Ovis aries: one gene and its partner. The protein of the gene in region 1 purifies or fractionates together with the protein of each later gene. This does not show direct contact. Links are inferred from orthologs where the notes say so. Each region holds a gene or a part of one and is shown in the gene's direction. Other genes may lie near its edges.

What was found.
Region 2: the proteins of BCAP31 (region 1) and CYB5A purify together in Homo sapiens (co-immunoprecipitation; 4 studies listed by BioGRID and IntAct, with this or other methods). This does not show direct contact. The link is inferred for Ovis aries from reciprocal best matches to the Homo sapiens genes BCAP31 and CYB5A.

What each region holds. Positions count from the first base shown.
Region 1 is NC_056080.1:80,540,734-80,551,755, forward strand, and holds the start of BCAP31 (B-cell receptor-associated protein 31), read left to right. Parts: upstream 1-5,155; 5' UTR 5,156-5,370; exon of another isoform or gene 5,371-5,469; intron 5,470-5,670; exon of another isoform or gene 5,671-5,914; intron 5,915-6,019; 5' UTR 6,020-6,062; coding exon 6,063-6,154; intron 6,155-7,621; coding exon 7,622-7,722; intron 7,723-9,632; exon of another isoform or gene 9,633-9,735; intron 9,736-10,746; coding exon 10,747-10,894; intron 10,895-11,022. Other genes in the region: ABCD1 (ATP-binding cassette sub-family D member 1), read right to left, coding at 74-254, 3,447-4,361. UniProt on the Homo sapiens protein: Functions as a chaperone protein. Is one of the most abundant endoplasmic reticulum (ER) proteins.
Region 2 is NC_056076.1:4,328,919-4,339,972, forward strand, and holds the start of CYB5A (cytochrome b5), read left to right. Parts: upstream 1-4,152; coding exon 4,153-4,281; intron 4,282-11,054.

The sequences.
Region 1 (11,022 bases):
GGCAGGTGGGCCAGCTGGGCACTGGGCCCTCCCAAGCCTAGCCCAGTGGTCCAGAAGGCCGGCCCCCTCTCACCTGACTCTGAGTAGCCAGTGGCAGTGATGATGGGGACAGCCACCATGAGCAAGCCAGAGGCGCTCCACACGTACTTCATGAGGAACTGCTCCAGCATGACATACCACAGGCGTTCCAGCAGAATAAGGTTGATCTGGGAAGCCAGGTCCTGGTAGGAGTGCTGCAGAAGGGCCAGCTCCACCTGTGGGGAAGGGGTGCCGGAGACCCAGAGGTGTGGCAGTCAGTCCCCCGGGGCAACAGCGAGCATCCCTGAGTGCCAGGCTACACAGGCCATGGCATTCAAAGGCCATGACGGGGCTGAGAGCTGGGGCTTAGGACTGGGCCATGCTTGATGAGTCAAAGCATTGTTTACCAGAATTGGCTTTGCTTAATGGCTCAGCCTACCTGGTCTAAATGCCATACCTCTTGCCACCTCCAGGCTGTGTGAGCTGGAGCAGGTCACTTTCCCTGTCTGGGTTACCATGGACGGGGGACAGGTCTCAAACTCAGGGGAGGTATGGCATAGACAATGCAGAGCTGGGGTACAACGGCAGTGAAGGGGCTCACCCCCTCATTTCTGAGGCTCCCACCCCTTTTCCACTGTCTCTTCAGTTGGGATGTTCACCGTGCCCCCTTTCTGCCCCAGAGAGTTTTTCAACACGGGCTGAGGGCAGCCACCTTGCCCATTTCTTTGAGCAACTGCGGAGGGGTCACCCTGAATGAAGCGGAGGGGAGTGCAGGAAACACAAAGGCAATAGCTGGTTTCAAAGAACGTGCTCCGGTCATCTCTACCTCCATAGGCCCTGGCCTCCCTTTCCTTTCCCACAGTTCCTCTGGGTGATAAACTTGCACTGTGTCCTCCCATTGTGATCGGCAGGGCACACTCCCAAGCAAGCTCGTTCAGGCATCACCCCCAGTGGACAGCCCCACACCCAAGCCAGCTGAGGACGCCAGCCCGCCAGCCAGGCCACGAGGGGACCTGCCCTGCTTGCTTGTGCACTGGCCACCACTTGCCATCTCAGGAGAGAGTGGGCGAGAAACAGGCTCTCTGGGACAGCAGCAGTTAGATGGGCTGGAGTGGCCAAGAAGCAGTCGCAGCAAGGTGGCCATTGGGTCCTGGATGGCTTGGTAGGGGCGCCTGCTCTGATCCTGTCTCCCTACCCAACGGACAAGAGCTGCCCAGCCTGGAATAGTTTCCTTTGCCAATTCACCATGTTATAGCTGACTCTTGACTTGATTCTCACCACGTCCCATTGTATGTGTATTCTCCTGTCTGTGGTAGCCCAGACAGGCAAAGTGACCTGCTCCAGTTCACACAGCCTGGAGGTGGCAAGACATATGGCATTTGGACCAGGTAGGCTGAGCCATTAAACAAAGCCAATTCTTGTGAACGATGCTTTGACTTATTAAGAAAGTCTACCCGTGCTCAGGCTAATAAGAGGTTGGATGTGTTGGTATGAGCCCGTGTAATAACCCTTCTGTGGAGAAGGAAATGGCAACCCACTCCAGTATGCCTGCCTGGAAAATCCCATGGATTGAGGAGCCTACCTACAGTCCATGGGGTCGCCAAGAGTTGGACACGACTGAGTAACTTCATTTCACTTTTCACTTTCATGCACTGGAGAAGGAAATGGCAACCCACTCCAGTATTCTTGCCTGGAGAATCCCAGGGACAGAGGAGCCTGGTAGGCTGCCATCTATGGGATCGCACAGAGTCGAATACAACTGAAGTGACTTAGCAGCAGCAGCAGCAGCAATAACCCTTCTCCTTGACATCCCAGGAATAGCAAAATACTCGGCGGTCTGCCCTCCAGTCAGCCAGCTACCTCTGCCCCAGCCTGCTGATCTGAGCCTGGGCCAGTGTCCATGGGGACATCAGCCAATGGGACTGGGCTGAGCCACGTGCCCGCACAGTGAGGGCAATCAAGCCACCCATGAAGGCCCATCACATCACACAGCCCTTTGCCCGAGGCCTTGACAGACAGGTTGGGGACGTACATCAGGCCCCTCCCACCCCAGCTGGTGAATCTGCCCCAAGTACATGCTATTTCCTGAAACTAACCCAGAGGAAATCCTTCAAAGAGCTAGTGATTCTCCCTTCTTCCCACCTCCCCTGTCCCCAGCTAGGTCTTGGGCATCGCTCTGCCGTTCCTGAAGTGAGCACGTCTACTCTGAGCGCCCTGGCGATCCAGGCTCGTGCTGGGAGCTGGCAAGAGTGCCAGCTGGGGCTGACAATGTAGCTGCGGGGAATGTGCCAAGTGCCTCACCCAGGGCCACGGCTGCCTGCCAAGACCCTGCGTCCCTGGAGCACAGGGGAGGAGGACGGGGGTTGCGGCTGCAGATCCGGCCCTTTTTCTCCTTATCTGGAGCCCAGCCGGGAATGCCCCTATCTGCTCAGGGATAAGTCTTAAAAAAAAAAAAAAATCAGGGACAAGCCTGCCTCCCTGCCTGATAAGATGGGCTGCCAATGAGACAAGGTCGAGGACACAAGGCCATCTGACCTAGGGAGGATCCATGGGCCTTCAGGAGCTGGATGCCATTGTACCCCTCCCCCAGAAGCACTGGGGAACCGAAACCAGAGTCGCAGAGAACCTAGCCGGAGGCAGCTGCAACCCAGGCAGGAGGAGGGGAGGGGCCGGAGCACTGGCCTGGAGTAACCTCTCCCAGGCCCCGGCTCCTGGCCCTAGCCGGCTGGCCGCTGACCCAGCCTGCTGGGGAGCTGCACGGCTGGGACCTGGGCGGAAGGGCGGCCACACTGGGGGCAAGGTGGCCGCTGGGAGGGCAGGAAGTGCGTCCTGCTGCAGTGGCGGCTTGGGCCCCGGCACCCCTGGCTGGGGCCTCGGGGAGGCAGCCAAGCCCGCAGCCAGGCCAGCCTTTGGGCTCCGGAGGGGGGAGAAGCTTGATCTGGAGCGCTGAGATCCGATCGACACACCGAGCACTGCTGCTTGTTAACCTCCGCTTGGGCTGAGTCATGCCCATAATGCCCACTTGCCCGGCCGGACGCCGGGCTTCAAAGGGCCTGGGGGAATAGGAGGGGGCCAGACAGCAGGCTGCATCCTGTCATCCCTGCCCCCAGATGGCAGGAGCCCCTTCTCTGTTGGCTGCAGGCAGGGGGCAGGCTGGGAGCTCTTGGGTCTCCCATCACTAGGGTCCACAGCCCTAAGGCCAGGACAAGGGAGGTGGAGAGGAAGCAGAAGTGACCCAGGACAGTCTCCACCCAGCCTTCCTGCTTCTCCATTTCTGTGCCGATCCGGGCTGCCCACGGCCCTGGTCGTCCACAGCCTCCCTCTCCCATGGCCAGCCCACACCTGTGCCATCAGCCATAGGCAGCCCCAGGCCTTCCTGCCCCGGACTCCCCCAGCCACGCGCTTTCCGGCCCCAGGAGCAGCCCCACCTCATGGCCCCCGTAGAAGGCAATCTCCTCTGAGTTGGCCACCACTCGGGAGTGCATGTAGCGCAGCTCTCCCTTGCGCCGCGCCTCCTCAGCCACCAGCTCCCCGAACTTGGGCGAGAAGGCTCGCAGCACATTGGCCGTGAGGAAGACCACGAGGCCAGCGATGGCCGAGGGCCAGGCTGTGCCAGCCCCGCGGGAGCGGGCTGCTCGAACCAGGGTGTAGGTGGTCACAGCCACGTCCAGGAGCGGCTTGGTCAGGTTGGAGTAGAGGTGGGCCACGGAGGCAGCGAAGGCCACCACGTCCTCCGTCAGGGACTGGTCTGGGTTGCGAAGCCGCCCGTCCATGTTGCTGACCCGGTAGTAGGTCTGCTGGGAGAAGTAGAGACTGTAGGCATGGGCCACCAGCCGGCTGCGGAATGCCAGGGCCAACTGGCCCTCCAGGTAGCGGATGGCACTGTTGATGAAGGTGGCAGGCAGTGCGATGAGCAGCCACTGCACGAGCTGCCAGCTGAAGGCCTGAGGGTCCTTGCGCACGATGCAGCGGGCCAGCCGGCCGTCCAGGCGGGCTACGTACACCGACAGGAAAGTCCGGCTCACCAGGGCGGCCGAGTGCAGCGCCAGCAGCCCCGTCTCCCGGCACAGGATCCTGGGGAATAGCAGCCGCAGGAGCCATAGGAGCCGCTGCAAGAACACCTGGTTGACACCGGCCTTGGCCGCTGAGGCCACGGGGGCACCGGAGACGTCTGGTGCGGGCTCCCCATCCACCGCCGGCGCTTGAGGGCCCCTGGCCGGAGCCAGGCACTGGCGCACCAGAGGGTAGAGTTTGTGGGCTCCATAGGCCATGAGGGCCAGGACCACGGCAGTACGCTTCAGCGTGGTCACCCGCGAGGCTCTGGGGGTAGAGAGCACCGTCATGTCACCTGGGCTGGACTCACGGGACCGGGACGGGTGCCTGAGGCGGCAGAGGAGGCAGGTGGCTGCAAGGGTGGTGGCTCTGACCCCGGGCTCGTTGTCTAGGCAACTGGAGACCTCGCAGTGGTCCCTGAGACTGTCGCTTTAGGCCACCCGGGTGGCGCTGGGGCCCCTGGCGCGGGTGGGCTCAGGGCCCTCCAGGGTCACGGCCTCTTCAGGCGGCCGAAGTGGAGGAACTTGTCAGTCCCTTGGCCCTTGGGGTCAGAGCCTCTAGAGGTCTCCGGCCGAGGGCGTCTTTTTCTCTCCACCTCCTACTCCTCCTCCCCTGGTAGCGCCCCTCCCTGGGATACCGGCCGCGTCCGTCCGCTCCACAGCCCGGCTGAAGCGACTGTGACTCCGCCACCCGCCCAGAATCCCCACCTACCCACCCACCCCTCCCCAGGGGCGAGTCGGGGGAGGGGGAGGAGGCGGAGGAGGGGCGGGAGGCGGAGCCCAGGCACGGGCCGCCCCACCCCGTTCTCGCCCCACGGTGGGGCCCCGCCCCCTCCCCGGACCACAGAGACGCCGGAGGACCGCGCGGGCTAGAGAAGCGGCACCTCGCCTTCCCGCCAAGGCCGGGGACCCGTCTCTCCGCGCGCGCGCGCGAGGCGTGGCTCCTTCCCCAGTCCCAGACGTCGGGAGCCTCGGTTCGGGGGCGGGGCCTCCGGGGCCTTGTGGCGGTTGGGGGCGGGCCGGGACTGGCCGGGCGCTTCCGGTTCCGGCCGCGGGGAAGGGGCGGGGCCGGGCTGGTGGTGGGAGAGTTTGGCGACGACTGGGCGTGCGTGGTGACTCTGGAGAACTCGGTGAGCGGACTCGCGCGCCGCGCTGGGCTTCCGGGCCGCCGAGGTCCCCCGGCTCCTCGACGAGGGGGCGCGGGGAGGCCCGGTGCGCGGGGCCAGGGCCGAGGCTAGAGTGCGGGGGCGGGACCGGGCGGAGGGAAGTCAGGCTGGCGGCGGGTGGAGCCATCTCCAGGGTAGGGGGCGACGTCGAAGTCCCTCCGGAGGAGCCGGCGGGGTGGGGCTTGAGAGGGCGTGCCGGGTCGGGGCCTCGTCGAGGGGTCTTCTGGAGCCGGGTAGGCGCCGCGACCGACCTGGGAGGCCGGGAGGGGTTTCTCCGGCTTTGGAGGAGACAGTCTTCTAGAACTTTCTCTGGACGGGGCCGTGAGGTGCTGGGTTGAGACCCGCTCTTGCCCTTGGCTCCAACTCTCGTCCTCTAGGAGTCGCTCTCGGGGGCTCTCGGAGATACTGAAAGCTGAGCCGAAGGGGCGGTGGTTGGGAGGCTTTTGCGTTCCGCTCCTGCCCTGGGAGGAGCTGCTCGCTACTCCTCTGTCGGCCCGGGTGGAAGGGCCCAGAGGCATCGCAGGTTGGGAGGAAGCGCAAAGGCATTACTAGGACCGAGGCTGCGGTGTGGTGGGCGGTAGCTTGAACTGCCGATTCCCACCCACTGCTGCCAGGGTTCCGCAGGCGGAGTCTCCCGGACTCCACGGGGAGGAATTGTTTGGAAAAGTGTCTCTGGAGGTATTGGCAGCCAGGCTGCGGGGCTCGAGGGCTGGGAATGCTCTGAGGTCTAGGGCTGGTGGCTGCCGAGCTGTCACGACGCCTGTTTGTTCTGTGCTCCATCAGGAACAGGCTCACATCATCCCGGTGGAAAGCTGCTAGCAACACGATGAGTCTGCAGTGGACCGCAGTCGCCACCTTCCTCTATGCAGAGGTCTTCGCTGTGCTGCTGCTCTGCATTCCCTTCATTTCTCCCAAAAGGTATGGGCAGGCAAGCCAGGAAGAGTCTCGGTAGCTTGTGCCTGCAGAGTTGGGGGGCCTTAGAGTTGAAGCCAGCCGGAAACAGGTAGAACCTGTCTGGGATGGGGGTGGCAAGGACTGTGTTTATTATCGCCAGCTAGGCCCACAGTTGTGCTCAGTCACATCTTGACTAGGTCCTTTCCCCTGCACCCTGTCTTCTGGTCTTCAGAGTGTGCCAGAGGGGACAAGACCAAGTGACCATTCTGGAAACGATGCCCTCCGGGTGTTTAGGAGATGGCATTGTGAGATCTGCAAGACTTGCCTCTGGGTCATGTTACCGTTGATTTGGTGACTTCTGTCCTCCTAACCAGTCTCGCTGGGGTTGCGAAGTGGCCTCATGAGCATTACTCAGCCTAGGAAGGCCGAAGCCATGTTTCTTTTCAGTGAACAGAGGACTTCTGAAAAGTTATTTTGAAATTCATCTTGATTACATATACTATAGGAACACATCTGATCTTAAGTTAGAACATTACAAATAAGACTTACAGATGTTTTCATAGAAGCTTCTTTTTAATGAAAAATCACAGGCTGCTGTTGTGATAGAAAGTGTACAGCACTGCTTAAGGAATGTTCTTTACAAAAGCTAGATCTGAATCACCTCATACAGTTCACAGGAAATGCAGAGACAGTGGCCCACTTGGAGCTGCTACATGGAAAGCTTTGCAGGACAAACAGCCTGGTTTCTGCAACAGTGAATTAGGGGAGAAATCAGAGAGCAAGGGAGGGGGGAGTTCGTAGAATAAGGCCTGGTGTGCTGTGATTCATGGGGTCGCAAAGAGTCGGACACGACTGAGCGACTGAACTGAAGGTACTTATTAACAGAATGCAAAATCAGAACCTTGTCAGGATTCAAACAGACCAATTGTTAAAAATAATTGCCTCAGTTGGACTTTGGAGTTCTGGCTCTGATGATGAGAGATTTTTCTTGATATTTTTGAGGCTTGACGGTGGCATTGCGATTGGTAGCCATTTCTGAAGGGTCTTCTTTGACGGAGCTGTATGCTGAAGTATTTATGGAGGGAAAGGTAGGGAGGTCTGGGGTCTGCTTCATGGTAATCGGGGGTGGTGGGAGTCTAGATGAGCCAAGATTGGGCACATGGGAAAACAGTTTAAAGAAATAATGTGGATTTGGCAAGCATTTTGATACTACAGAGGGGACGCTAAGTTTCGCATTTCTCTCCCCAGAGCCTACCAGTGTTTAAGACTTTTTCTAGAAATTTCTATACTTGGACAGGTGTCTTTTTTTTTTTCTTTTTAACACTGTTGAACAGATGTCATAAGTTGGAAAATTGCAAGCAGCTGAGGCTGAATCTGTATGAGATATTCAGTCTTTGAAGAAGAGTGCAAAACTGTATCTGTTTTCAGGGCCCTGGATCCCAGGTGTGTGTTCTTACTCTACTGACCTTAGCCTTTTTGTCTTTTTCACAGATGGCAGAAGATTTTCAAGTCCCGCCTTGTGGAGTTGGTAGTGACATATGGCAACACCTTCTTTGTGGTTCTCATTGTCATCCTTGTGCTACTGGTCATTGGTGAGTGAGTTGTGGCTGATGGTAGCTATCTGACTTAGACCTTTTGCCATGGCCTCTGCTACAAAGCCCTGTGCCATGTGCCATGTTCCATGATTAGAGTACAGCTTTGACTTCTCAGAGACAGACCATTTAGTGCGCCTGTCTTTCTCTTGGGGGAAGAAAAGCTCCCTTCATCCACAAAGACGTCAGCATCCCTGCTACTGACTGCTGGCAGGGTCTTTGCTTTGACCAGCAGCCTTTATGCCCCTGGTGCTGACCATCTTGTGTCTCAGGCAGCTCCTTGGGTCCTTCCAGAGCTGAAACCAAGAGAGGCTAATGGACCTGTCCTGACCTTGGTCTCAGTAGGCTGCAGGGTTTATGAACTGGGTGTGTGTGCTTTTGCTTTTAGGTGTGGGCTGGGGGTAAGAGTTGGGGTGGGGAGGGACCATGCTGGGGGGTGTTCACTTAGAGCTTTGCCCTTCTGCACACCAGATTCCACGAATTCTCCTGGTATGGCAGATTGGGTGGGAGAGGCCCTTTGCAGAAGGTGGTAGTTGGCAAAAGTGCCGTTTTTCTTTTTGAGGAGTCAGGGAACTGCCTGGATGTTCTAGAGCGACATCCTGCTATGATAAAAGGCTGCTTCGTATCCTAATGTAATCTGTAGAGGTCTGCCTAAATAAGTTGTTCAGTTCAGTCACTCAGTCGTGTCCGACTCTTTGCGACATGAATCGCAGCACACCAGGCCTCCCTGTCCATCACCAACTCCCGGAGTTTACTCAAACTCATGTCCATTGAGTCGGTGATGCCATCCAGCCATCTCATCCTCTGTCATCCCCTTCTCCTCCTGCCCCCAGTCCCTCCCAGCATCAGTGTCTTTTCCAATGAGTCAGAGTAAGTTGTTAGCTAGTAGCAAATGCTAGCGACATAGCATAACTAGCTAGAAGCTGCAGCCCTGGCTGGCCCCTAGCCATCCCTGGGAAGGGATCTAGGGCACATCTCACTGGGGGAGTGGGCTTAATGAGAGTTCAGGGTCAACTGCCGTGGGCTGGAGGCCTGAGATAGAGAGGGTAGCCCTCTGCTGTATGACTTGAGCTAGTTTGGCCCAATGCCCCGATCCCTGGTTGGCTCTTTGCCATTAGTCAAGGTGGACCTTGAGGTGCTGGGGTCTCTGGCTGCAGAAGACAGTGTGGGAAAACATGTTTTTTGTTTAAATCACAAAAATAGCACAGCTTTAGAAATTTGTGAATTTAACTTACAAAGTTAAAGGTTCCCATAAACCCATGTCTCACAGGTAACTATTTTAACAGTCTGTGTTATGTTTCCACAGTCATTTTCTGTGTTGGCCGTGTCCTCACATGGAGGAAGGGACAAGGGAGCCCTCTGGAGTCTATTTTATAACGGCACTAAACCCACTCATGAGGGCTTTGTGCTCATCTTCCAAAGGCCCTACTTCCTAGTATCATCTGGTTGAGAGTTAAGGTGCCCAAATGGGAATTTTGGGGGTCAGGAACCCACATGTGTGTATGCTGAGTCACTCAGTTCGGTTTGACTCTTTGCGACCCTGTGGACTGTAGTGTGCCAGGCTCCTCTGTCCATGGGATTTTCCAGGCAAGAATACTGGAGTGGGTTGCCATTTCCTCCTCCAGAGGATCTTTGCAACCCAGGAATCGAACATACATTTCCTGTGTCTCCTGCATTGGCAGGCAGATTCCTTACTGTTGAGCCACTTGGGAAGCCCACGGATGTAACACAAAGATACCAGTAAGTGGAGGTGTGTTTTTATGATGTAAAATCAGCCTAAAAAACAAGCAGTCTCATACCAGAAATTAAGAACCAGATAGTAGCCTTACATTGCCCCTCTCCCATGGGGATCCATTAAGAGCACTCTTTAGGTAGATCTTTACATAATGATTTAAAAAGATGTCTCAGATGTTCATTTCAGCAGCACATATCCTAAAATTGAAATGAGACAGATGATTAGCATGTCCCCTGCATAAGGATGGCAAACAAACTCATGAAGCATTCCATATTTTTTTTAAAGCACGTTGTAGGGGATACAGAAATAGAAGTAATGGACTTATATAATGTTACAAATCAGTGTACTTCAATTGAGAAAAAAGAGATAGCAGGGTTGAGGGAGAAAAGTAGTAGGTATGGGATCGTTCCATTTCTAGCCTGTAAACACACAGATGTGAGTATATATATATATATATATATATATGAGTGGCCAGTAATGGTTTTTTAGAGCAGAGGTTGTTCACTGTTCAGGTGTTTGTGCTCCCCCTGTAACAGCTTAGAACTCTGTTAGGCCTTAAGGATGTAATAGGAAAGGTTTCTGTTCTTGTGGCGCTGTAGTCTAATTTGGGGGACATGAACATTAATTTTAGGTGTGTGTATGACATTGATTAATGGGACTGGAAATGATTGCTTTATTTAAGCTGGCCACATGAAGTAGGTTCTACTGGAGGTGATTGATTATGTTATGGGCTTCTTTCTCCTACATTGAACATTGATGAGCATGAATTTTTTTTTTGTAAGCAGAATACACCAGTTTAAGTAACCAGTTATAAAGCTTAGACACTTAGAAATGAAAACCTTTGAATCTTTAGCAGGCATCCTCCAGGTCTTGACTCCTAGGCAGCTCATGCTTCCCTTGTGGGCATTTCCATAAACAGGACTCGCCTGGCTTATCAGTTGGGTGGCTGATGGCCAGCCCCGTTTGTGATAAACAGAACCAAACAGTGGGGGCACCGTGGCAAAGGGAGTTGCCCTGGTTGCCAGCGACATCTCAGATTCGGTGAGCTTCTTGACACGGAGAGCAAGCTTGTGGTCTGGGTAGAATGGGTCTAGAGGGTGACATGAGAAAAGCTGGAGGAGAGAACAGGTCGGAGGGCAGCACTTCTGATAAGGCATCCATCAAGATGTGTGTAGAAGGGGAAGAGCAGGGGAGATAGTTTTGAGGAAAGCGAGGCTGCCCAGACTCACGCCTTGCATCTCAGCTGGACTGATCCGGGGCTGAACACCTGTATCTCTGCTCTGCCACAGATGCTGTTCGTGAGATTCGAAAGTATGATGATGTGACAGAGAAGGTGAACCTCCAGAACAACCCTGGGGCTGTGGAGCACTTCCACATGAAGCTTTTCCGTGCCCAGAGGAACCTCTACATTGCTGGCTTTTCCTTGCTGCTGTCCTTGTGAGTGGGGAGGGGCGAGGGAGTGTGAAGGGACCTATGGGCTAGTCTGTGGCCTTGAATTGGAGGCCCTTTCTACGTTCGGGGAACCACACAGTTTCTCCAGAGGCAGCATTGAAGATGGGAGAGGG
Region 2 (11,054 bases), on another chromosome or scaffold:
GGGAATGATGCTGAAGCTGAAGCTCCAGTACTTTGGCCACCTCATGCCAAGAGCTGACTCATTGGAAAAGACTGTGATGCTGGGAGGGATTGAGGGCAGGAGGAGAAGGGGACGACAGAGGATGAGATGGCTGGATGGCATCACTGACTTGATGGACGTGAGTCTGAGTGAACTCCGGGAGATGGTGATGGACGGGGAGGCCTGGCGTGCTGCGATTCATGGGGTCAAAAAGAGTCAGACACTGAGTCAACTGAGTGACTGAATTGAACGTATTTAAAAGACACGGGTTTAATGCAAATTATCCATGTAGATAATTTGAGTTGGAGTCCATCTTTGTAGAGTGCCCATTTGTCAAGGGAGCCTGGTTTCTATGGTTATAGCAAATATAATGATTTGTCAATGGGAAGTAAAGAGCTGCTGAAGTGTGTCTTGTGCATGAGTGGCAGGAGGAATTAGAAAAGGAATAAAAAACGTAATGATGTTTGCTTATTTTGGCTTTTTAGTAGAAGAGTGAGTGCTTTCTACAGTATATTTCACCTGAGGAACTTCAGGAGTAGAGTTGGTTTTCTAAATGTTTATTAAAATTTCTTTGCTGGAGGGAACATCAGGAAGTTTGTAAATATCTGAATTCCTTTTAATTTCTTAGATTTGTTTCTAAGTTTGCCTAAATTTACTTCACCTTGGTGGAGATGGAAATGATATCCCACTCCAGTTCTTGCCTGGAGAATCCTATGAACAGAGGAGCTGGGGATTGCAGTCCATGGGGTCGCACAGAGTTGGACACGACTGAAGTGACTTGGCACACGCTTCACCTTGGAGCACTTGCCATGTAGGATGTTTCCTTATACCAGTGTTTTAAAGTAAGGAAGTCTTGTTTGATAATAGCATTTGCTAAAATCTGTTGATTGCTCTTTTTGTGCCAGACCCTGGCTAAACATTTTATAAGCAATGGCTTAGAGAGTTAACTGATTAGGTCATAGTCATGCATCTGATAGGTTACTAAACCAGGAATAGGATCCAGGTCACGGGCACCAAAGTTTTGTTTTAACCACTTCTGGAGTTATTCAGAACTGGCACTGAAATCTGAAACAGTCTTGACATTGGATTATAGAGGCAGTCGTCACTGACACACTGCTCTGCCAGAGTCATGCGGAGATTCAGCAGACCTGGGAACTGTTAGGGTACTGGTATACATAACCTGATTTACTGTTTTTAAAACATTTGGACAATTATAACACTAAATGCATGTATTTGAAAAGAAGAAAAATCCCAATTCAATAATCTAAACTCCCACCTCAAGAAACTAGGAAAAAAAAGAAACCCAAAGCAAGCAGAAGGAAAGACTCAATAAGGAGCAGAAATTAGTGACCAAAAAAAGAAAAACAGTGGAGAAAATCAGAGGCCAGAAGTGAGCTCTTTAAAACAAATCAGTAAACCAACAACATTGTAAATTAACTATACTTTTTAAAAATTTATTATTTTAAATTATTTATTTTAATTGGAGGCTAATTACTTACAATATATGGTGGGTTTTGCCATACATCGACATGAATCAACCCTGGGTGTCCATGTGTTCCACCATCCTGAACCCTCCTCCACATCCCTCCCCACCCCATCCGTCTGGGTTGTCCCAGAGCACCGGATTTGGGTGCCCTGCACCATGCGTTGAATTTGTACTGGTCATCTATTTTACATACGGTAATATACATGTCTCAATACCATTCTCTCTTATCGTCCCACCTTTGCCTTCTCCTGCATAGTCCAAAAGTCTGTTCTTTACATCTGTGTCTCTCTTGCTGTCTTGCATATAGGGTCATTATTACTGTCTTTCTAAATTCCATATATATGTGTTAATATACTGTATTGCTGTTTCTCTTTCTGACTTACTTCACTCTGTATAATAAGGCTCCAGTTTCATCCACCTCATTAGACCTGACTCAAATGCATTCTTTTTTAATAGATGAGTAATATTCCATTATGTATATGTACCACAACTTCCTTATCCATTTGTCTGCCAATGGACACCTAGGTTGCTTCTGTGTCCTAGCTATTGTAAAGTGCTGCAGTGAACACTGGGGTACATATGTCTCTTTCAATTCTGGTTTCCTTGATGTGTATGCCTAGCAGTGGTACTGCTGGGTCATATGGCAGTTCTATTGTTTTTTTTATTTAAGGAATCTCCACACTGTTCTTCATAATGGCTGTACTAGTTTGCATTCCCACCAACAGTGTAAGAGGGTCCCCTTTTCTCCACACCCTCTCCAGCATTTATTGTTTGTAGACTCTTTGATGGCAGTCATTCTGACTAGCGTGAGATGGTACCTCATTGTGGTTTTGATTTGCATTACTCTGATAACGAATGATGTTGAGCATCTTTTCATGTGTTTGTTAGCCATCTGTATGTCTTCTTTGGAGAAATGTCTGTTTAGTTCTTTGGCCCAATTTTTGATTGGGTCATTTATTTTTCCGGTATTGAGCTGCATGTGTTGCTTGTATATTTTGGAGATTAATTGTCAGTTGCTTTGCTATTATTTTCTCCCATTCTGAAGGCTGCCTTTTCACCTTGCTTGTAGTTTCCTTTGTTGTGCAAAAGCTTGTAAGTTTAATTAAGTTCCATTTATTTATTTTTGTTTTTATTTCCATTATTCTGGGAGGTGGATCATAGAGGATATTGCTGTGATTTATGTCAGAGAGTGTTCTGCCTATGTTTTCCTCTAAGTTTTATAGTTTCTGGTCTTACGTTTAGATCTTTAATCCATTTTGAGTTTATTTTTGTGTGTGGTGTTAGGAAGTGTTCTAGTTTCATTCTTTTACAGGTGGTTGACCAGTTTTCCCAGCACCAGTTGTAAACAGACTGTCTTTTCTCCATTGTATATTTCTGCCTCCTTTATAATTTAAAAAGCACATTGGAAAAAAAAAAAAAGAATTACATATCATAAGCAAGTAGGGCTTATTCCAGAGATGCAAGGCTGGTGCAGTATTTGAAAACCAAAGCATTCCATCATGTGAAATGGATAAAGAGTATTTGGAATGTTTGGGAACTTGTCTTCTTGGCCTTGCATTCCTACGGAGGAGGTAAGCAAGGGGGTAGGAAACCAACACTAGCAGCAGCGAGTGGAAAGAACTGTGCTGTTTCCTGGAGGATGACCTACATGTGTAATCCATTGTGTCGTTCTTTTTGGAAGTAAATACCATTGCTGAAAAAGGCCTTAGCAAAAATCAGACTAATTTTTTTTTTTTTTTTTTTACGTGCTGGAATTCTCTCCCCCGCCTTTTAAAATAGAACATTTGTAAATCTTCCTATGGATGCTCAGCTGGGGAGGTACTGCTCCAGACTCTGTTCCAAGAGCTATCAATCATTTGGAATTTACCTTAAACAATATACTGGTGAGAAAAGACAGAAGACACTAATACAAGTACTCGCCTAGTCAGGGGTGAAGACAGAGTAACTTCAGAGCCACCGACGTCCTCAGAACCTACACTTGAGGCCGCTTTTGCTTTTTTGGAACAGTTCCCGGGTTTTGTTTTGTTTTTCTCCTGAGAGAATGGGGCAGTTCTGGGACGGGAGGGGATGGGTCAAGCAGTCCTCCGGGCAGCACACTCGTCCGGCGACGTCCACCAGGTTGCTCTGCATGTCTGAGGCCCCTACACTCGCTGCGGAAGGACTCTGTTACAAATTAACGAACGCCCAGGTCTGACCGGATTGGGAAACCGCGGCGATTTTGATGTGGGGTCGCTGCCCTGCACAAGGTGGACTCTGCGCGGGTCACCCCGCCTGGTCCACGCGATCCCGGACGCCCAGACCCCGGCGCCACCGCCTTCGGAGCAGACGCGGGGAAACCCCGCCCCCCGCGCTCTCCTAAGCTGTGATTGTGAAGGGCATCTTCTGCAGCCAATCAACACCCGCTCACTGGGCGGGGCCCACCGGGTTGGTGGAGAGTGTCGGGCGGGGGCGGGGCCCTTGAGCGACAGGAATTCTGGCCAATCGTCGGAGGCCGTACTTCGGCCACTCCCCTCCTCCGTGAGGACATTCCTCCCCAGGAGCCGAGCCCGGCAGCTGGGAATGTCCCAGGGCGAGTTCGCAGAGACGCCCGCTCTTCTCCGTCCCGCTCTTCTGCTGCTTTTAGGGCCTTAAGTTCGCTGCGTTAAGAAATGGCCGAGGAGTCCAGCAAACCCGTTAAGTACTACACCCTGGAAGAGATCCAGAAGCACAACCACAGCAAGAGCACCTGGCTGATCCTGCACTACAAAGTGTACGATTTGACCAAATTTTTGGAGGAGGTGAGTTGATGCAGGCAGGATGCCCACCGGGGCTTGAGGGGCTCCCTGCCGAGACTTCCCTTGTGTGGCGGGATTGATCTGCGCACGACTCCGCGTGCACACCTGAGTGTGCTCACCCGCGCGGGAGCACCGGGCTCTGCACACCTGGGAGCACTCCCCTCATCCGCACGCCTGTGTCTCTGCCTCCCTCTGTGTGTGCGCTGCCTGAGTGCACACCTGGGAGCGGACCCCGAGTTTGTACCCCTGAGTCTGTGCGCCCGCGTTGTCACCGGAGGCTGCACCTCCGTGTGCGAACACCTGGGGGCGACCGGAGGTGCATAGGTGCTGCGGCCAGGTGAGCCAGTCTCGCAGCCCGCGGCGCGCCCTCTTGGGGCGGGAGCCGCTTCCCGGGAACCTGCGCGGGCAGGTGGGAGAGCCCCGCTTCGCACTTAGTGGGGAGCAAAGTCGCACGTGGAGTTGAGGGCGCAACTACGGGAGGACTTTTGAAGGTCCTTTTTATCTTGAGTTTGCATAGGCCAGGTCTTCATCTAGGACCAGGGTCGTGCGACTTCTTATTCCTGGAGTGGATTCCTAATTGGAGCCGGTGCCACTCCACCATCCACGCCCAGTCACCCGCTGTTCACCTAGAAGGCGCCCAGTGATATTTAAGGATGAGGCGCAGTATTGGACTCCTGCGAGGGGCTGGGGTAGGGGTCGGGGGTGGGGGTGGGGGGCGAGTGGCAGTGAACAGACAAGTGAAAAGAGCCAGTGCGACTTCACCCTTAGGCAGCTTTGGGAATTGTAAAGTAGCTGGGTAACTTGCAGGAAAACAATCCTTTGCCTTGATTCTTTGCATTGATTATACTTTTTTGCAATAAATTCTAAGGGGTTTTTGTTTGCTACCTCTGACTGTTTGGTCACTGTGTGGGTGTGTTGGGGGGAGGTTCAGTCATAAAAATTTTTTTTAAACAATTTTTTACTGGAGTATAATTGCTCAATGTTGTGTTAGTCTCTGCTGTACAACCAAGTGAATCAGCTATATGTATACATACATCCCCTCCCTCTTTTCTTAAATTTATTTTTACTTGAAGGATAATTGCTTTACAGAATTTTGTTTGTTTTCCGTCAACATGTAACACTCTCCTTCATTCCCCCAGACAATAAACGGGAATGTTTAGTGATGGGAATTCTTTACTTAGTTTGTGAGAAAAATGAAGATAGAGGCTTGATCTGAGCTGGATCACAATTTGTATCAAAATACATTTGTTTGGCAGAGAATGCTTAATTTTTTTAAAGGTTGAAGTTGTCTATTAGTAACATATTTTACTGTTAAATTGTTACCAGGTGATGTACCAGAAGATAAAATAGTGTCTTGATGTGGTTAAGAGTGGTTTATAGCAGAGGGTCAGATCTGTCCTATCCCTTCTGCTGAGAAACAGAGCTTATTTGCTATTAGAATTTCTTAACAGTCTTGTATCGTAACATCAGGCCTAATGGATGCCAGATGTCTACTTACAACTGTTCCTTCCCCATTCCCAGGGGATGTATAATCGTGGGATTTTAAAATCCAGTGTGTATGCACTTTATTGGTGTCTAGAAAAAAAATAGTATTTATCAAGTGAAAAAGTGAAAGTGAAGTCGCTCAGTTGTGTCCGACTCTTTGTGACCCCATGGATTGTAGCCCACCAGGCTCCCCTATCTATGGAATTTTCCAGGCAAGAGTACTGGAGTGGGATGCCATTTCCTTTTCCAGGGAATCTTCCCAACACAGGGACTGAACCTGGGTCTCCTGAACTGCAGGCAGACTCTTTACCGTCTGAGCCACCAGGATATTTTATTTAATGAAGTGTTTGCCATTTTTTCTTTTTTGTAGAGTCTGTCGTGTTCATTACTGTCTCACTTACCAGACGTCAGTATCATCCCCACCCCCTCACCCCCTTCCCCAAGACAACCAAAAATGTCTCCAACTCTTGTCAAATGTCCCCTTGGGGATAACAAAGTCACTCCTAGTCGAGAATCACTGCCCTAAGGTATATCTTGCCTGACTTTTTTTATGGATACATTTCTCAGAAGATAAGAGATTATTAAACTGTACTATAAACCATTTACTTTTATATCATTCTTATGAGGCAGAAAAGGAATTGCACAAAGTTTCTAAACAAAACCAGAAGAGCTACAGACCAGCTTCTCAGTGGGTGAATTAGCTGACAGCAAATTCTGTTTCTTAGTCAGTTTTCAAGACTCTCTTTAAAAGGAGCTTGGGGAGAACATCTCTCAAGAAAAAAATGTGATGAATTGCATTTATCACTAATATTTGATAACTAATACTTGTAGCTAGGTAACTCAAAACTACTGTTTGTAGTGAGATAAATAAAAACAAATTTATAGCAGTTCCTGTATACCAACCTTTCTTAATTGCTACTTGGTAAATGCTCCTTCAGAGCGTATTACCTACCTGTAACACAATTTAGTCAGTTCAGTACACAGAAGAACTGTACAAAAAAGATCTTCATGACCAAGATAATCACGATGGTGTGATCACTCACCTAGAGCCAGACATCCTGGAATGTGAAGTCAAGTGGACCTTAGGAAGCATCACTACGAACAAAGCTAGTGGAGGTGATGGAATTCCAGTTGAGCTATTTCAAATCCTGAAAGATGATGCTGTGAAAGTGCTGCTCTCAATATGCCAGCAAACTTGGAAAACTCAGCAGTGGCCACAGGACTGGAAAAGGTCAGTTTTCATTACAATTCCAAAGAAAGGCAATGCCAAAGAATGCTCAAACTACTGCACAATTGTACTCATCTCACACGCTAGTAAAGTAATGCTCAAAATTCTCCAAGCCAGGCTTTAGCAATACATGAACCATGAACTCCCTGATGTTCAAGCTGGTTTTAGAAAAGGCAGAGGAACCAGAGATCAAATTGCCAACATCTGCTGGATCATGGAAAAAGCAAGAGAGTTCCAGAAAAACATCTATTTCTGCTTTCTTGACTATGCCAAAGCCTTTGACTGTGTGGATCACAATCAACTGTGGAAAATTCTGAAAGAGATAGGAATACCAGACCACCTAACCTGCCTCTTGAGAAATCTGTATGCAGGTCAGGAAGCAACAGTTAGAACTGGACATGGAACAACAGACTGGTTCCAAATAGGAAAAGGAATACGTCAAGGCTGTATATTGTCACCCTGCTTATTTAATTTCTATGCAGAGTACATCATGAGAAACGCTGGACTGGAAGAAGCACAAGCTGGAATCCAGATTGCCGGGAGAAATATCAATAACCTCAGATATGCAGATGATACCACCCTTATGGCAGAAAGTGAAGAGGAGCTAAAAGCCTCTTGATGAAAGTGAAAGTGGAGAGTGAAAAAGTTGGCCTAAAGCTCAACATTCAGAAAACTAAGATCATGGCATCTGGTCCCATCACTTCTTGGGAAATAGATGGGGAAACAGTGGAAACAGTGTCAGACTTTATCTTTTTGGGCTCCAAAATCACTGCAGATGGTGACTGCAGCCATGAAATTAAAAGACACTCCTTGGAAGAAAAGTTTTGACCAACCTAGATAGCATGTTAAAAAGCAGAGACATTACTTTGTCAACAAAGGTCCATCTAGTCAAGGCTATGGTTTTTCCTGTGGTCATGTATGGATGTGAGAGTTGGACTGTGAAGAAAGCTGAGCACCAAAGAATTGATGCTTTTGAACTGTGGTTTTGGAGAAGACTCTTGAGAGTCCCTTGGACTGCAAGGAGATCCAACCAGTCCGTTCTGAAGGAGATCAGCCCTGAGATTCCTTTGGAAGGAATGATGCTAAAGCTGAAACTCCAGTATTTTGGCCACCTCATGCGAAGAGTTGACTCATTGGAAAAGACTCTGATGCTGGGAGGGATTGGGGGCAGGAGGAGAAGGGGACGACAGAGGATGAGATGGCTGGATGGCACCACTGACTTGATGGACGAGAGTCTGAGTGAACTCCGGGAGTTGGTGATGGACAGGGAGGCCTGGCGTGCTGAGATTCATGGGGTCGCAAAGAGTCGGACACGACTGAGCGACTGAACTGAACTGAACTGAGTGAGGTGAATGAACCTAGAGCCTATTATACAGAGCAAAGTAAGTCAGAGAGAAAAACAGACATTGATATATTAATGCATATATACTTGATGAACGTGAGTTTGAGTGAACTCCGAGAGATGGTGATGGACAGGGAGGCCTGGTGTGCTGCAGTCGATTCATGGGGTCGCAAAGAGTCGGACGCGACTGAGCCACTGAACTGAACTGATACATGTATATATGGAATCTTGAAAAATGGTATTGATGAACCTGTTTGCAGGGGAGAATCGGAGACACAGACAACGGACTTGTGGACACTTGGGAATGGGAAAGAGTGGGACAGGCTGAGAGAGCCGCTTTGAAACATGCACATCACCATATATAAAACAGATGGCCAGTGGGCATTTGCTCTTTAACACAGGGAGCTCAAACCTGTGCTCTGTGATAACCTAGAGGATGAGGTGGGAGGTGGTAGGGAGGTTCGAGAGTGGGGGGACATATGTATACCTATGACTGATTCACGTCTCTGTATGGCAGAAACCAACACAACATCAAAAAGCAGTTTCCTCCATTAAAAAAAAAAAAAAAGCCTACCTTGACTTGAGTTTGGAACACCACGACCCTCTGGTACTAACATCATTCCTTTTGATCAGTGGTCCAGAATCTGCTGAGTTCTTATTGTGGAGACTGTGGAACTTGAAAGAGATACCATTTCTATTCTCAAAAGCTTCCGTTTGAGGAAGCAGCAATAACACAGTAAACAATGCAGTGGGCAGGGATTTAAGCACAGAAAGCTGTGCTCTATCGGCCAGAGTCTAGTTCAGTGATGGGGAGTGACCCAGGGTGGCTGTGTGAGGTGTCAGGCTTGGGCTCTGGTGAGTAGGGCCTAATGTCAGCGGTAACAGATGGGCTCCCAGAGCTGGTCTGGGTTAAGGTAAGAACCAGGCCAATGGCTGTGCAGCGGGACCTCTCAGAAGGGTGAAGGCGTGCGGTGAGGAGAGAGGCTCGCCAGCCCGTTGAGCTGATCATCGGCAGTGCCGACCTTCCCAGAACTTTGGAGGGGCCAGCTGTTCTATCTGCTGTTATCACTGTTTTCCCTTCTGTGTCCATCTCTGATTAATGCCGTGTCATAGTCTCTGGCTTCCTGCCCCCTAGCCCAGCCATCCTAAGATTCCCGTGACTTCCTGCATCTTAAACACACATCTCATTCAGAAACCTGCAGGGTGCCCTGCTGGTGTTTCACTTCTTCCTCCTCCTCCTGTTCCATCACTTTATTATTCCAGTGCTGTTTAATTCCATCCCTTCTGAAACAAAGAGCCCGGAAGATCTGTTTCTCCCTGCTTGCTCTGCTCCCTTTCTTTGTCATTTAAAACTCCAGAAATTCATTAAAGTTTTGCATGTTAACTAGAGAATATTCTCTGTGTGTGTGTGTTCAGTTGCTAAGTCTCTCAGTCCAACTGTTTTGTAACCCCATGGACCTTAGCCCGCCAGGCTCTTCTCTCCATGGAATTGTCCAGGCAGGAATACTGGAGTGGGTTGCCATTTCCTCCTCCAGGGGATCTTCCCAATCCAGGGATTAAAACTGCAACTCTTGCGTCTCCTGCGCTGGCAGGTGGATTCTTTACCACTTAGCTACATCAAAGAATATTTTGCTTTCCCTAATTTACCCAAATATGAAGGAAGTTTGTTTTTTGCCTTCCTACCTCTAAAGGGGACTTTCAGGCTTTATGGGCTAGATCTCCTTATATATCATAGCTTTATGTGCACGTGTGCATTCAAGTTGAGAAAGTACGTACTGCGATGCATGGAAGGGAGTCCTAGTCTGTGCCTGCGCTCTCTGTCCCTCATGTGCCTTATTTAACATAAAACAGCAGGATCGCGATGGTACCAACTTCTAAGGGTTAAGATGAGAATTAAAAAACATAATGCTGGTTAAACAAACAGCACGACGCAAGCATGTGGTCTGCACAGGAAATGCAAACCCCTGTACCCGCACAAGTCATGTGTGGGCATGGCTTCTGTAGCATCGTATGTAGCTGAGTGAGAATGTGAGATTGTAGGTGAAGGTGTAAATTTGGCACGTGATGTTGAATTGAAACAAGAGAGTGTTATGAAAGTTATACCCTCTGGTCAAGAATACCAGTGAAGCTTCTAAGTTGTGCATTGAGCTCCATCTCCTGGAATAATAGTCTTATAAAGCTGTTTTGTTTTCCAGAGAAGAGGAGACGCCTGAGAGGGCGAACTGGCTCGCGTTTGCTGGCAATCTGAATAGCAGCAGGCGTTTAGTTACTATCTGATACTGGCTACCACATTATGAGCCTCGTTGCCCATGTATTTTGAAGAAGGTGGTTTGTGTTTTTTCAATTCTGATTTCTAGTTTTTGAATTTATATTTGTGAAGTTGAGTCTTGTCATTTCTGATTGTGTTGTTGGCGAGGTTAATGATTATAGAACTTTGGGGCCAGGGAGAGAAATGATTTACTTTTCCCTTTCTGCAACTGAGGCAATAGCATTTATCCAGGTTTTACCAGTACTGTAGAATAGGAGAAGAAAATATGACTTAATAGATGGCAGTAATATTGCTTTCAGTTCAAGTCATTACATGTTTCATTTATAAAACAGACATCTTGAAAAATATTAAGAAGCATAATACTTAGTGTCAAGTTGCCCCCCTTCCTTTACATGATCAAAATGGAAATGTTTCTACAGAATGTTTCCTGGTGAGCTTGGGGCTCTGGTGCT